Linked DNA regions of Daphnia pulex. The protein of the gene in region 1 interacts with the protein of each later gene in a pairwise test. Links are inferred from orthologs where the notes say so. Each region holds a gene or a part of one and is shown on either strand. Other genes may lie near its edges. The genes, in order: S-phase kinase-associated protein 1-like, F-box only protein 11-like and F-box/WD repeat-containing protein 7-like.

Evidence for each region.
Region 2: the proteins of S-phase kinase-associated protein 1-like (region 1) and F-box only protein 11-like interact in binary tests that used the Caenorhabditis elegans proteins (3 or more experiments, as listed by UniProt). The link is inferred for Daphnia pulex from reciprocal best matches to the Caenorhabditis elegans genes skr-1 and dre-1.
Region 3: the proteins of S-phase kinase-associated protein 1-like (region 1) and F-box/WD repeat-containing protein 7-like interact in binary tests that used the Caenorhabditis elegans proteins (3 or more experiments, as listed by UniProt). The link is inferred for Daphnia pulex from reciprocal best matches to the Caenorhabditis elegans genes skr-1 and sel-10.

Annotation. Positions count from the first base shown.
Region 1 is NC_060019.1:12,034,355-12,037,411, forward strand, and holds S-phase kinase-associated protein 1-like, read right to left. Parts: upstream 1,915-3,057; 5' UTR 1,888-1,914; coding exon 1,757-1,887; intron 1,508-1,756; coding exon 1,377-1,507; intron 1,230-1,376; coding exon 1,021-1,229; intron 921-1,020; coding exon 744-920; 3' UTR 651-743; downstream 1-650. UniProt on the Caenorhabditis elegans protein: Probable essential component of SCF (SKP1-CUL1-F-box protein) E3 ubiquitin-protein ligase complexes, which mediate the ubiquitination and subsequent proteasomal degradation of target proteins.
Region 2 is NC_060018.1:284,070-288,463, reverse strand, and holds the start of F-box only protein 11-like, read left to right. Parts: upstream 1-1,473; 5' UTR 1,474-1,677; coding exon 1,678-1,783; intron 1,784-1,866; coding exon 1,867-2,217; intron 2,218-2,282; coding exon 2,283-2,448; intron 2,449-2,512; coding exon 2,513-2,709; intron 2,710-2,780; coding exon 2,781-3,143; intron 3,144-3,213; coding exon 3,214-3,516; intron 3,517-3,595; coding exon 3,596-4,012; intron 4,013-4,076; coding exon 4,077-4,372; intron 4,373-4,394. UniProt on the Caenorhabditis elegans protein: Substrate recognition component of a SCF (SKP1-CUL1-F-box protein) E3 ubiquitin-protein ligase complex which mediates the ubiquitination and subsequent proteasomal degradation of target proteins including blmp-1.
Region 3 is NC_060019.1:12,535,789-12,540,184, forward strand, and holds the start of F-box/WD repeat-containing protein 7-like, read left to right. Parts: upstream 1-1,507; 5' UTR 1,508-1,885; intron 1,886-1,970; 5' UTR 1,971-2,099; coding exon 2,100-2,267; intron 2,268-2,334; coding exon 2,335-2,483; intron 2,484-2,642; coding exon 2,643-3,000; intron 3,001-3,064; coding exon 3,065-3,250; intron 3,251-3,315; coding exon 3,316-3,714; intron 3,715-3,781; coding exon 3,782-3,961; intron 3,962-4,059; coding exon 4,060-4,241; intron 4,242-4,318; coding exon 4,319-4,396. UniProt on the Caenorhabditis elegans protein: Probable substrate recognition component of SCF (SKP1-CUL-F-box protein) E3 ubiquitin-protein ligase complex, which mediates the ubiquitination and subsequent proteasomal degradation of target proteins.

The DNA.
Region 1 (3,057 bases):
TCGATTCAAAGGAACTTATTGAGAATGCTTCCGCATTCCGGAGTGGTGATTCAATCAATGTCTCATCATCTCATGACCCTTACATAATAATACTACTGATCATTTTAAGTTAAAATCTATAGTTAATTTTTAAATAGACTTTCGGCAACCATCAGCACGCACCAGTGAACATTTTCTTCCGACTTCCCGTGAACAATTATTTCTACGAAGAAAATGCAATCTATGCACATTATAAGAAACACTACATATTATGCATACAAAACGTATGCAGGGAAAATTATAAAATTAATGGTCAAGCCGTCAAGGTATCATGCCTATCATCTACCTATGAAAACCAATGATGGTGTCTAACTTGCAAAGCATTTCTAGTAGCTAAGCCCGGATATAATCCGCGAGTCCCTTTATCTTTTTCTTGATATGCTCATTTTCAGGAGACCATCTAACGAAACAAAATCTAAAAATAATGCAGTGTTCAACACACTGACACACACACACACACACACACACAAAAAAACCAAAACTTGTACATTATAATTGGCAAAACGGGAGGTTGTCTAAAGCACGAGCTGTTTTAAAACATACAGTTAATTCACCAGTGCACTACGGAACTTCGTACAACTTGTTCTTTTGTTTGACTATACACTTAAAACTGCTTTTTAATTTATTGTATTCTTGGCTTGAAAACATGAAGTTGGATACAAAGGTACATGTAACATGTGAAAACAAAATTTCGTCGAGATAATTTACTTTTCTTCGCACCACTCGTTCTCCTTGCGTACTTGCTCTTCCTCACTAGGGGTGAAATCGTTCTTGATGTTGAAGGTCTTGCGAATCTCTTCTGGGGTTTTCCCCTTGATCATGTTTGCAACAGTCTTGCAAGTAACATCCAGCAAGCCTTTAATATCCAGATAATTGGCAGCCTAAAAACAAAAATATGTACATTACATTTCACTAACATTTTTAACTTAAAACAATTGTAGAATGTTTTCATAGGTGTGATATCAGAAAATGAACACTTACCAAGATGAGTTCAAACAGAGTTCCTTGATCTACTTTGAGGAAATCAGCATCCCATGATGAGATATCATCAGTACGTTTTTCCTTATTGTCATCATCCTCTGGTGGTGGGGGGTCATCTTTGTGGTAAGTTGCCCACTGAATTACTTTACGTAGAATAGCAGAATTGACATTGGGTAAAGGAACAACTTCTTCGTCATCTTCATCCATTCCTAAAACCAAAATTGAATTTCAATTGAACGTTACCTTTTTTAAGCATTTGAAAAGAAAATAATGACGCATTTGCCTATAAATATCTTTGTGGTGCAACTTTTGATTTTATTTGTTACATTAACATTAAGCTTATTGAAAAATATTACCTAGATCCTCAAGCATTGTTTTGATTGTTACTGAACACTTGGCAATTTCGACATCAACCTCAAATGTTTCTCCATCGGAACTCTGCAGCTTGATGTTTGGCATTGTGTGAATTGTGTTTGTTCTCTGAAAACTGAAATACACAAAAAAACTTTTTGATAACCAAAAGTCCAGCAGCAAAGAACAATGAATGGATCAAGCCCTCAGGAGAACCAGCACACACATTCCAAACAAAAATAACAGTCAAGAAAATCACATCATTATGGGAATTATCTCAAACATTATGGGTACATTTTCGAGTTTCTAACTCTCTAGTCCGTATTGTAATAATGTTGAGAAAATTAAGCTTGGAGTTCAACAAAAAATTAAGCAAATTACGTACTTTTCTATAAAGGTTGCTCTAGAGCAAATGGCGCTGGTGCTGGTCTGAAAAATGTTCAGTAAAAATGAACCCTCCTCTCCTCCCTGTTTCGCTCTGTGATGGAAAACATCACTGCAACTTTCGCATCGCATAGTATACACTCGGAGGGGAAGGGGCGAAAGTATACCAACAGTCATGTTAAAGCGGTTTTTATGAAAAACGTGTTCTTTTCCAGTTTTCGAGATTTTTGAGTTTTGACTTCTGTGTATTCTACATTTCTTTTTGTTGGCAAATGGCAATATATAAAACCAATTAACTGATTTTTTTCTCTCTCCGGTTTTGCACAATTCGAGATGGCCAAATCCCCAAAATATTTTTTCCAAGCCATGGCGCCATGCGCAGTTTCCCGTAGGGATTCTAGTCACAGTCGAAGGAGGCTCAGTTTCGACACGCCACCGCTGCAATTCAAACTGCAAAATTCAATTGCAGTAATTAGACACTTAAATTTACGTAATTGTGACACCAATCACGCAAATTTTTGTAGGCATTAGATTTAAAAAAGAAATCTCTTTAAAATGGATCACATTTTACGAAGATATAATATATTCATTTTTTAAAACAGCGATTCTAAGTCAAACGGGGCTCAGTTTCGAAACGCCACCGCTGCAATTCAAACTGCAAATTCAAAACGACACTAAACATTAATACAAAATTTACGTAAATGTGTTACTTATCATGAAAATTTTTGTATGAAAGAGATTAAACAAAGAAAGGTCTTCAAAATGGATCACATGAAGATATACTAATAGCTGTATTTTTTACACAGCGATTCAAAGTCGAACGGGCTCACTTTCCCGGCTTGATGTGTGTCAACCCAAAGCTATAGTTTGCAGGCCTAACAAGAAGCGAATTTGGTGGCAGTTTTTACGACTGCCCGGCGGCCTTGTATACATGTAGATCCCCACCAAACGTGAACAGAAAAGCGTCGGGTTTGTTTGTTTACGTTTAAAAGCAAAGTAAGTTTTACCAGTTTTACTACTGGTTTAGACAAACAAATTGGTTTTTTACACATTTTTTGGTATGCCTCAAGTCCATAGATAGTATGTAGAATTTCAATTTGTGAGTGCAATCTACCACAATTGACAAACATTTCTTACTGAAATATTTTCCTTTCCCTTTTTAGATGCCTGGAGAAGATCAAATGGAAGATGAAGCTGAGACTATGACATTCCAGGCCAAGATTGCTCAGCTTATGAGCTTGATTATCAACACCTTCTATAGTTGATCTCCAACTGCTCAGATGCCCTAGACAAGATCCATTA
Region 2 (4,394 bases), on another chromosome or scaffold:
TATGTATGTATTACACACCAACCAACCACAGACACACAATCCTTTCTCTTTCCGATTCCTTAATTTCTCTGGTTTCTCTTTTTTTTTTTTAGCTCCGGTTTATTTTTCAGTCAGAAATTTACGTTTTTGCTATCGTGATGATGTTGGTGACGGAATATGTTTTCTCCCCTTTTTGTCAAATTTGTTTTTTTTTCCCCAACACGTTGAGGCTATATTTGAAAATGACGTTAAACAAAAGAAATTCTAATATTTTAGTTTGTACAGAACAATTGTGTGTCGAGTAGGATCAATGGCAAATAGATAAGAGCTGGGCGCGCCAGGAGGTCGACGATATATGTTATACACATCCGATAGAGCTCAATTTATTTGGTTTCTTCATCTTTTTTTCTAGGGCACTTTCCCCATCTTCCCCAACCAACCACCATTTAGAAAAAATAAGAAAGAAGAAAACCCCAACCGATTCTTTTTTTGTATTATTGCGTGTGTTCTGTGTGTGTTCTTTTCTCTTTTTCCCCTCTGTTTCTCTTTCCAAAATGTGTTCTCTCTCTCTTTCTAAAGCTGACGTAGTACGTGCCGCATTTTGAACATTTTCTGTTTCGTCTCAAAACAAGAGAAAAAAAAAAGTCCGTTCGTTGCAGCGCAGCGGATCGGCCGGCCCACACACATTTGACACGCGCGCTCGTGTTCGTCCCTCGATAGTGTTCGATTGTTATTAAACTTTATTATTATAAAAAATTTAAAAAAAAGGAACGTAGGATTTAAAAAAATATTGGAGGAGGAAAAAGAAAAAAGAAACAAAAATTTAGCAATTTGGAGAAAAAATTTCCCTCAAAAAATTTATTCGATTGTTTTTTTTTTTATTTTTTATTATTTTTTCGTGTGTCTCTTTTTTCCTTTCTCTCTGTGGGGTTGTAATAATAATAACGCTTGAAAGCTCTATGTTTGTTGGATTAAATCTTTTTCGTCGTCTTTTTATTATTATTATCATCCCCCCTTCCATCAAGAAATAATGGCTGGTTATGGGCCTTCTATTTTGACAAAACGAACGATTGCTGGCTGGTGGGTTCTAATCGAAGAAAAAATACAAGAACTTGATTAACAAAAAAAAAGTGTCGTTTTATTCTTTCTAGGTGGTTTTCGGGACTGTTATTGTTTCGTGACTTGATTCACGGCGCGTGGGAGGATAATAAACATCCATCAAATAACAACCAAAAAAAACAGCTGTTTGGACAAAGAAGCATTTCAGCCGATGCCGCCGGAAGGCCCCCACAATACGAGGGCTCTATCCTTTTTATTTTCTGTTGTAAGGAAAGGGAAAACGGGGGAAATGCGTTACTAGCCCAAACAAAATGTGACTAACACACACACATACAGAAAAAGCCGAAAGAAAGAAAAAGAAGCCATTGCCTGAAGCATTTACCACGAAAGAAAAGATTTGTCGTCCATTTCCTTTTTTCGATCATAGATGTCTCTAGCAGAACACATTGTACAAGATGGCCGATGGTGTATGCGCTCAGTCACAAGTTGTGTTGACACTAAAAAAGTGAGATATTCCCATGAAAAAAGCATTATGAACCTCCCGTAGTGATTGTTTCTCGCAAGTTTATCATCATATCTGGACATTCTTCACTGTTTTACTGTGCTGTCGCCAAGAAAAGTGGGAAAATCGTTAGCAAAATGCCCAGTCCCTCGCTGCGTTCACCCCTCTACTCCCTGAGAAGGTCGAAACGGAAGGGCACCAAGAGAGGTGCTGCTGCCAGCAATAACTCCCGCGTCAACTCTGGTAAGTCCATCTCGCCATTCTTTCTCCCACATCAGTCCCACTTCTCATTCAAAATGTGTTTCACAATAACAAACTTTCCTTAGATGGGGAAGAAGGGGCAGGTGAAGGAAATCTCCAAAACAATGCATCGTCAGCCAACAATGAAAATCCAGTCTCAGGATCTGTTGCTCCTCAACCTGTTGTCCCTTCGGCTGTTGGTTTAGTCACCGGTGGGGCCTCAGCTGCTGGACACCAACCACCTTATGATCTGAGGCGCAAGTCACCACATCATGATCCTGCCGCTGCAGCTGTAGCACCCAACTACCCGTCAGGCTGCAATCCGAGTGGCAGCCTTTCGTCAAATTCAGCTTGTGCAGCTGGTCCCAGTGGCTATGCAACGTGTATGCTACCTGCAAGAAAGAGGCCGAGAAGAACCTGCTACACATCATCTGAGAGTACGACAAATATTTTTCGTTTTATCCTGGCTGTCTCCTAATTTGTTTTAATATTCAATTTGCAGATGGCAACTCAGTTGATGAGCAAAGAAGTGCAGCTCATTACCTCCAGTATGAATTACCTGATGAAGTTCTCATATGCATATTCAGTTATCTGTTTGAGAGAGATTTATGTCGGGTCAGTCAAGTCTGTAAACGTTTCCAGAGTATAGCTAACGACACAGAGCTTTGGTATGTTGGTGTAAACATTTCCGAGATTATCATTCAGAGATTCATCAACATTTTGTCTCGACAGGAAAACGTTGTATCAGCGCGTTTTTGAGTACGACACGCCATTGTTTCACACGGGAATCTGCAAATACGAATTTATAGCGATAGAAGAATCCGAATACGACAATCCTTGGAAAGAGAGCTTCAAACAACTCAATCACGGCGTCCACGTCAGGCCGGGATTTCAAGAAAAGGCCCTTAAATACCCGTCACGCTACAAAGGTTTGTCGTGAAAGTCTTTGGCGTCGCTTAAACGTTTTATCATTTTTCCATCTCTTTTTCCATTCTTGTAGGTCGTTCGATTGCCTATTTCGATACGATCCAGTCGGCGCTGGAATTTTTCGACGACGCCGAGAGTCCGCTCGTGTTCGTGCACAAGGGATCCTACCAGCGCGAGTACCTGGTAGTGGAGAACAACGTCAACATTTTAGGTTGTTCTTCGGGTAACGTGGCCGAAAACGTTACCATCGAACGAGACACGGAATCGACGGTGACGTTTATGGAAGGTGCGAGATCTTCCTACCTGGGCTACGTCACGCTCAAGTTCAGTCCAGATATCTCATCGTCTGTTCCGCATCACAAACATTACTGCCTTGAAATTGGAGAGAATTGCTCACCCGTTATCGACCATTGCATCATCCGCAGCAGCTCCGTCGGTATGTTTTTGTCGTCATTTGTATTGGTCATTGCTTTGTGACTCAATCTTTTTTTCTCCGAATGTTGCAGTGGGCGCCGCTGTATGTGTAACCGGGTCTGGTGCGGAACCCATTATCCGCCGTTGCGACATATCCGACTGCGAGAACGTTGGCCTTTACATCACCGACCACGCTCAGGGTCTTTATGAGGACAACGAAATCAGCCGCAACGCTCTGGCGGGCATCTGGGTGAAAAATCACGCCAATCCGGTTATGAGAAGGAATCATATCCATCACGGCCGAGACGTCGGCATCTTCACCTTCGACAACGGATTAGGCTATTTTGAGAGTAACAATATCCACAACAACAGAATCGCTGGCTTTGAAGTGAAAGGTTTGTGACTTGTTTCCATTTTTAATGCGTCCCTTGTTTCGCTAACAAATCTGATTGTTGCTTCATTTGAATTTAATAGCAGGAGCAAACCCGACTGTGGTGCGGTGTGAAATCCATCACGGCCAAACGGGGGGCATTTACGTTCACGAATCCGGTCAGGGCCAATTCATTGAAAACCGGATTCATTCCAACAACTTTGCGGGCGTTTGGATCACCTCAAATTCAAATCCGACCATCCGTCGGAATGAAATCTACAACGGCCACCAAGGCGGCGTTTACATATTTGGAGAAGGCCGCGGTCTGATTGAGCACAACAATATTTACGGCAACGCTTTGGCAGGCATACAGATCCGCACCAACAGTGATCCAATCGTGCGGCACAATAAAATCCATCACGGCCAACACGGTGGCATCTACGTCCACGAAAAGGGCCAGGGACTCATAGAAGAAAATGAAGTTTACGCCAATACCCTGGCTGGAGTCTGGATAACCACAGGTAAATAACTGATAATTGTACTTCTCCTCTGAATTGAATTAACCCATTTTTTACACCTCATCAGGATCGACTCCTGTTTTAAGGCGAAACCGAATTCATTCTGGCAAGCAAGTGGGTGTCTATTTTTACGATAATGGACATGGCCGTCTCGAAGACAACGACATCTTCAACCATCTATACAGTGGTGTGCAGATTCGAACGGGGAGCAATCCCATCATTCGCCGGAACAAGATTTGGGGTGGACAAAACGGCGGAGTTCTCGTCTACAATGGAGGACTCGGCCTGTTGGAACAGAACGAAATCTTTGATAATGCAATGGCTGGAGTCTGGATAAAAACAGATTCGAATCCAACATTAAAGGTAAGTTCATTTTAGATTATTA
Region 3 (4,396 bases), about 500 kb from region 1:
TATTTCTCTATCAAACCTGACACGGTCATACGGTTCCATTTGATCCAAGTGACGCATATCCTTAATCCCAATAATCTTTTAAAAAAACTATCTTTATGGATTCATTGACGTACGTCCGATGTGTAGATTTTTATATCGTTCACGTGTTGAGTCCATGTGCCTGTTTAACATTTCAAATAACATTTTCAATATAAAATAGTTTCAACATAAAACAGACCCAGTAAACCGTAGCGCATGTTGGTCTCGTTCGTCATTCACAATCGAACACTATCAAATGACGCAACGTATGTTCGTTAGCTGCAACGACGACTCCATTGTTTAAATAGGCGCGCCTAACCTCACACCTCTTCAATCCGGTGCTTCTGCACTTAAATGAACCGGTCAAAGACCAATTGCTGGTTTATTAAAAAATATATAGATTTCTCAATGCCCACACAAAATGTGCATCAAAGTTTCTTGGCAATTCAATGAGCGACCTATTTTCATGACTGGGGAAGCGACGATAATGCCCGATGAAAGAGCGAATTCAACATTCAACACAAGATCACCGAATGTTTTGTGCTGCGCTTACTAATGATCTTTTTGAAAAGTTAATGCTAATACGGTAGCAGCTATCACTCCGAATCCGAGAAATTTTGAATGTCATGGGGCAATAAACGGAATTGAATATTGTAACAATCAGAGAAAAACGAAAATTTGTTACAATTATATTATTAATGAGGACGAACCTTCAACTTTTAAAAAACCTGCGAGATATCGCGTAAGTAGCAGTTTGAATTTCTTATATCGAACGTTTATAATTCATCGCGAGTCATCTAGCGATAGCTAGAAAAAGCAAGATTCGGGCGCCCTTTAACACTGCGTAGCTGCTATAATGTGTACAAAAATATAGATACACAATTTAGTTGGATGAATACTTAACTGGCTATTGGTTGAATCGGGTTCAACTTTCGTCCAACCGTATGAGAGAACTAGAACTCAACATTACGCAGTAACGTTTTCAACAGAGTTGAAATGCTTGAGAAACAATTTGCACCAAAACTTCCATTGTTATTGAAATTGTGGCTTTAATTCAGTTGGATCTGTAAAGGGCTGATGGTATGAAGAGATTCAAGGGGGACATTTCAGGAGGGGGAACGATGAATAGCGATGATGATCCGTTGAAGTTTCAAGAACTGAACAGTTAGAAACTTAAAAAAAAATATGATATAATACTCTTTGATAGTAATGCAATACAAAAATATTATTAAGGGTGGGGGATGTATGTACAAAGAAAGGCGGGAAAGATGAAATGAGGTAGGCCCACGTATTGGCCTTTAAAAAACCGCCTAGCTTTGTTGTTTAAAAAAGGATAATAATTACCACTATAAATTCGATAGTAACACTGTAAACGTGTCAAGTGGGTTTTGCTACGAGATTCTAAGCGAAATAAAGAAAAAAGCGCATGTGATGACGACCACAGGGCGCGTCCAGCAACTGGGAAATGTTAACAAGCAATTTGGCAACGCTTTTTAGTCCAGCATATATCGTTGTCTGTCTCGGCTTCACCATTCGTGTGAAACAAAATTCTCTTTGATGCTGATCCTCGTGTACAAATTTTTTTCTATATTTACGCTCTTTGTGAAATCGAAATGCCCGAATCATTTTAGTGCTAGATTTTTTCTATTTTAAATCCTTTATTTGATTAAGTTGTTTTTGCCCACCCGTGCTTGCGGAATATTTTCAAAATCGCATTTTAAAGGTCTGCCCTTGTTCCCAAAACACTACACACTATCAAGCCCTCGCCCATATCATTAAAAAGATTCTACTTTTATTTTGATTGCACTTTTTGACTCGTAACGCCATTATAATTTTCGCTGCACTTTTCACTGGATTTTTATCGACGGTAAGTGTGAATCATTCTTGCTTTGTTTCATTATTGTTATAAAAAGAAACCTTTATTAACAACATTGAATCTTCTTTCTTGGCAGATGAGATGACTAGTGTTTAATTGAGGATATGAGTTGTTGTCTAGGCAGCTGTGTTTTGGTTTCCTAGTAATAGCTCAGCTTCTCAATCTCTAGCTTACGTAGCAGTCAGAAACCCAGCAGAAATAATTTATGCCAGCGTCCAGAGGACGGAGTAGTGGGAGGGGCATGGGCGACACTGCTAATGAAAGTCTAGCTCAGAGAAACCTGGTAGACATCAATGTGGCTACTGTTGAAGAGCTTTCCACCTTGGTTGGAGTTGGACGCAGCAGAGCTGAAGCCATTGTGGAAACCAGAAATGTAAGTTTAGGATTAACCCAACACCAGTGTGTTTTATATGGTTTTGACATGTGTTTTTCCTTTGTAGTCCCTTGGAGGATTTACATCCATCGAAGATCTAAGTCTGGCTCCAGGTGTGGGGACAAATTTGATTGAAGCCAATCGTCAGATACTAACAATATCAGTACCAGCTCAGTCGTCTCAGGTGAATGCAAGAAAAGCCAACACTCGGAGCAGGTAAATAGTGTTATACAATACTAAATTTATACCCCCTTCTCATGGTTTTGCTATTAGTGTAGGTATATTTCTTTATTGTTACTCTTATCTAAGCCTTTGTTCTTTGGATTAGGCAAAAATGCGTCATTTGATTCTAAACATGTTTTGTTGTTGCCCTAGAAGCAGTGATAATACAAGCGCTCAACCGACTCCGAGCACCACACCAGTGATATCTAGTTCAAGTGATAACGCGACAGAAGACCAGCAAAACGACAGTGGAAGTAGCAGCAGCAACGAATGGGGTGCTTGCCGTTTGAGGCAGCGCCGGTCAACAAGCAGAATAAATCCACTGCCCGTTGGCAAATCGCCTTCGCTTCGACAGACTCGGAGCAACGATAGCATCATTCAATCGCCTCCTCCTCTCCCCACAACACCTACATCATCGACACCTACTGCTCCTGCCAACGACGCCAGCAATGTATCCGTTAAAGAGGAATCACCCACCTCGGAGAATGATGACGTCGCCAGACCAGGAGCTGTAAGTTTATCCAACACTTATTTGTTATTAAGAACATGAATTTAATTAAGGTGGTGTGTTGTAGACCAAGCGCAAGTCGGAGTCGACAGCTGAGATGGCAGCTGAAGTAGCCACGGAGAAAAAAACATGTCGAAGGGGTGAAGGTGTTGATTCATCTTCCTCGTCAATCTACTGCCATGTTCACCGTAATCCGATTCCCTCGAAAGACAATCCTCCGCCAGGATTTTGCCAGTGGCTTCACACGTTCCAAGTATTTTTCGTCATTCTCTCAACCACTAACTCATTGCTAAGAAAAACCATTTGTTATCATTGCAGTACTGGTCGAACGCTGAGCGTTTATGTGCCATTGACCAACTGATAGAGCTGTGTGAACCCACTCAGGTCCGTCACATGATGGCTGTTATTGAACCACAGTTCCAACGCGATTTCATATCGCTGCTGCCCAAAGAACTGGCTCTGTATGTTCTCAGTTTCCTCACGCCTCGCGACTTGACTCGCGCCGCACAAACCTGCCGTTGTTGGAGAGTCTTGGCTGAAGATAATCTCCTCTGGCGAGAAAAATGTCGTGAAGCGGGTATCGATGACGTTCGTGATACTCTAAATAAGCGACGTCTTCGCGGATCTTCCCACCACTCATCTCTCAGTTGTGGTCTTTCTTCCCCCACCGGATCTAGCCAAAACAATGCACCAATTATTACTCCGTCACCCTGGAAGGTGAATAGATCAATCTGGCTTAAACGTTAATAGGTTGCAAGATAATATTGATTCGTTGCATTTTCAGGCGACTTATATGCGTCACCGAAATATTGAGTTGAATTGGCGAGTGAGGCCGATCCCACAGCCAAGGGTATTGAAAGGTCATGACGATCACGTCATCACCTGCTTACAGTTTTGCGGAAACCGCATCGTTTCGGGATCGGATGACAACACGCTCAAAGTCTGGTCGGCTACTACGGGAAAGGTAATTCATTGGGCTTTCTGCCTAGACAGGACAAAGACTTTAAAAACGCGAAATGTCTTAAGAACAGACAACCATTTAATTGTCATTTCACTCAACAGTGCATGAGGACTCTGCAGGGACATACGGGAGGCGTTTGGTCCTCTCAAATGCAGGGAAATATTATAGTCAGCGGGAGTACAGACAGAACCTTAAAAGTCTGGAACGCTGAGTCTGGACAGTGTTTGCACACATTATACGGCCACACCTCCACTGTCCGTTGCATGCATTTACACGGAAATAAGTCAGTCTTTTTATCAGATATTTGTAGCAAGCACTCTTACTAATTCAACTGTTTTCCTTGATCAAAAATGAATGTAGGGTGGTGAGCGGGTCACGGGATGCAACGTTACGTGTATGGGATGTTGAGACGGGCGAATGTTTACATGTTCTTGTTGG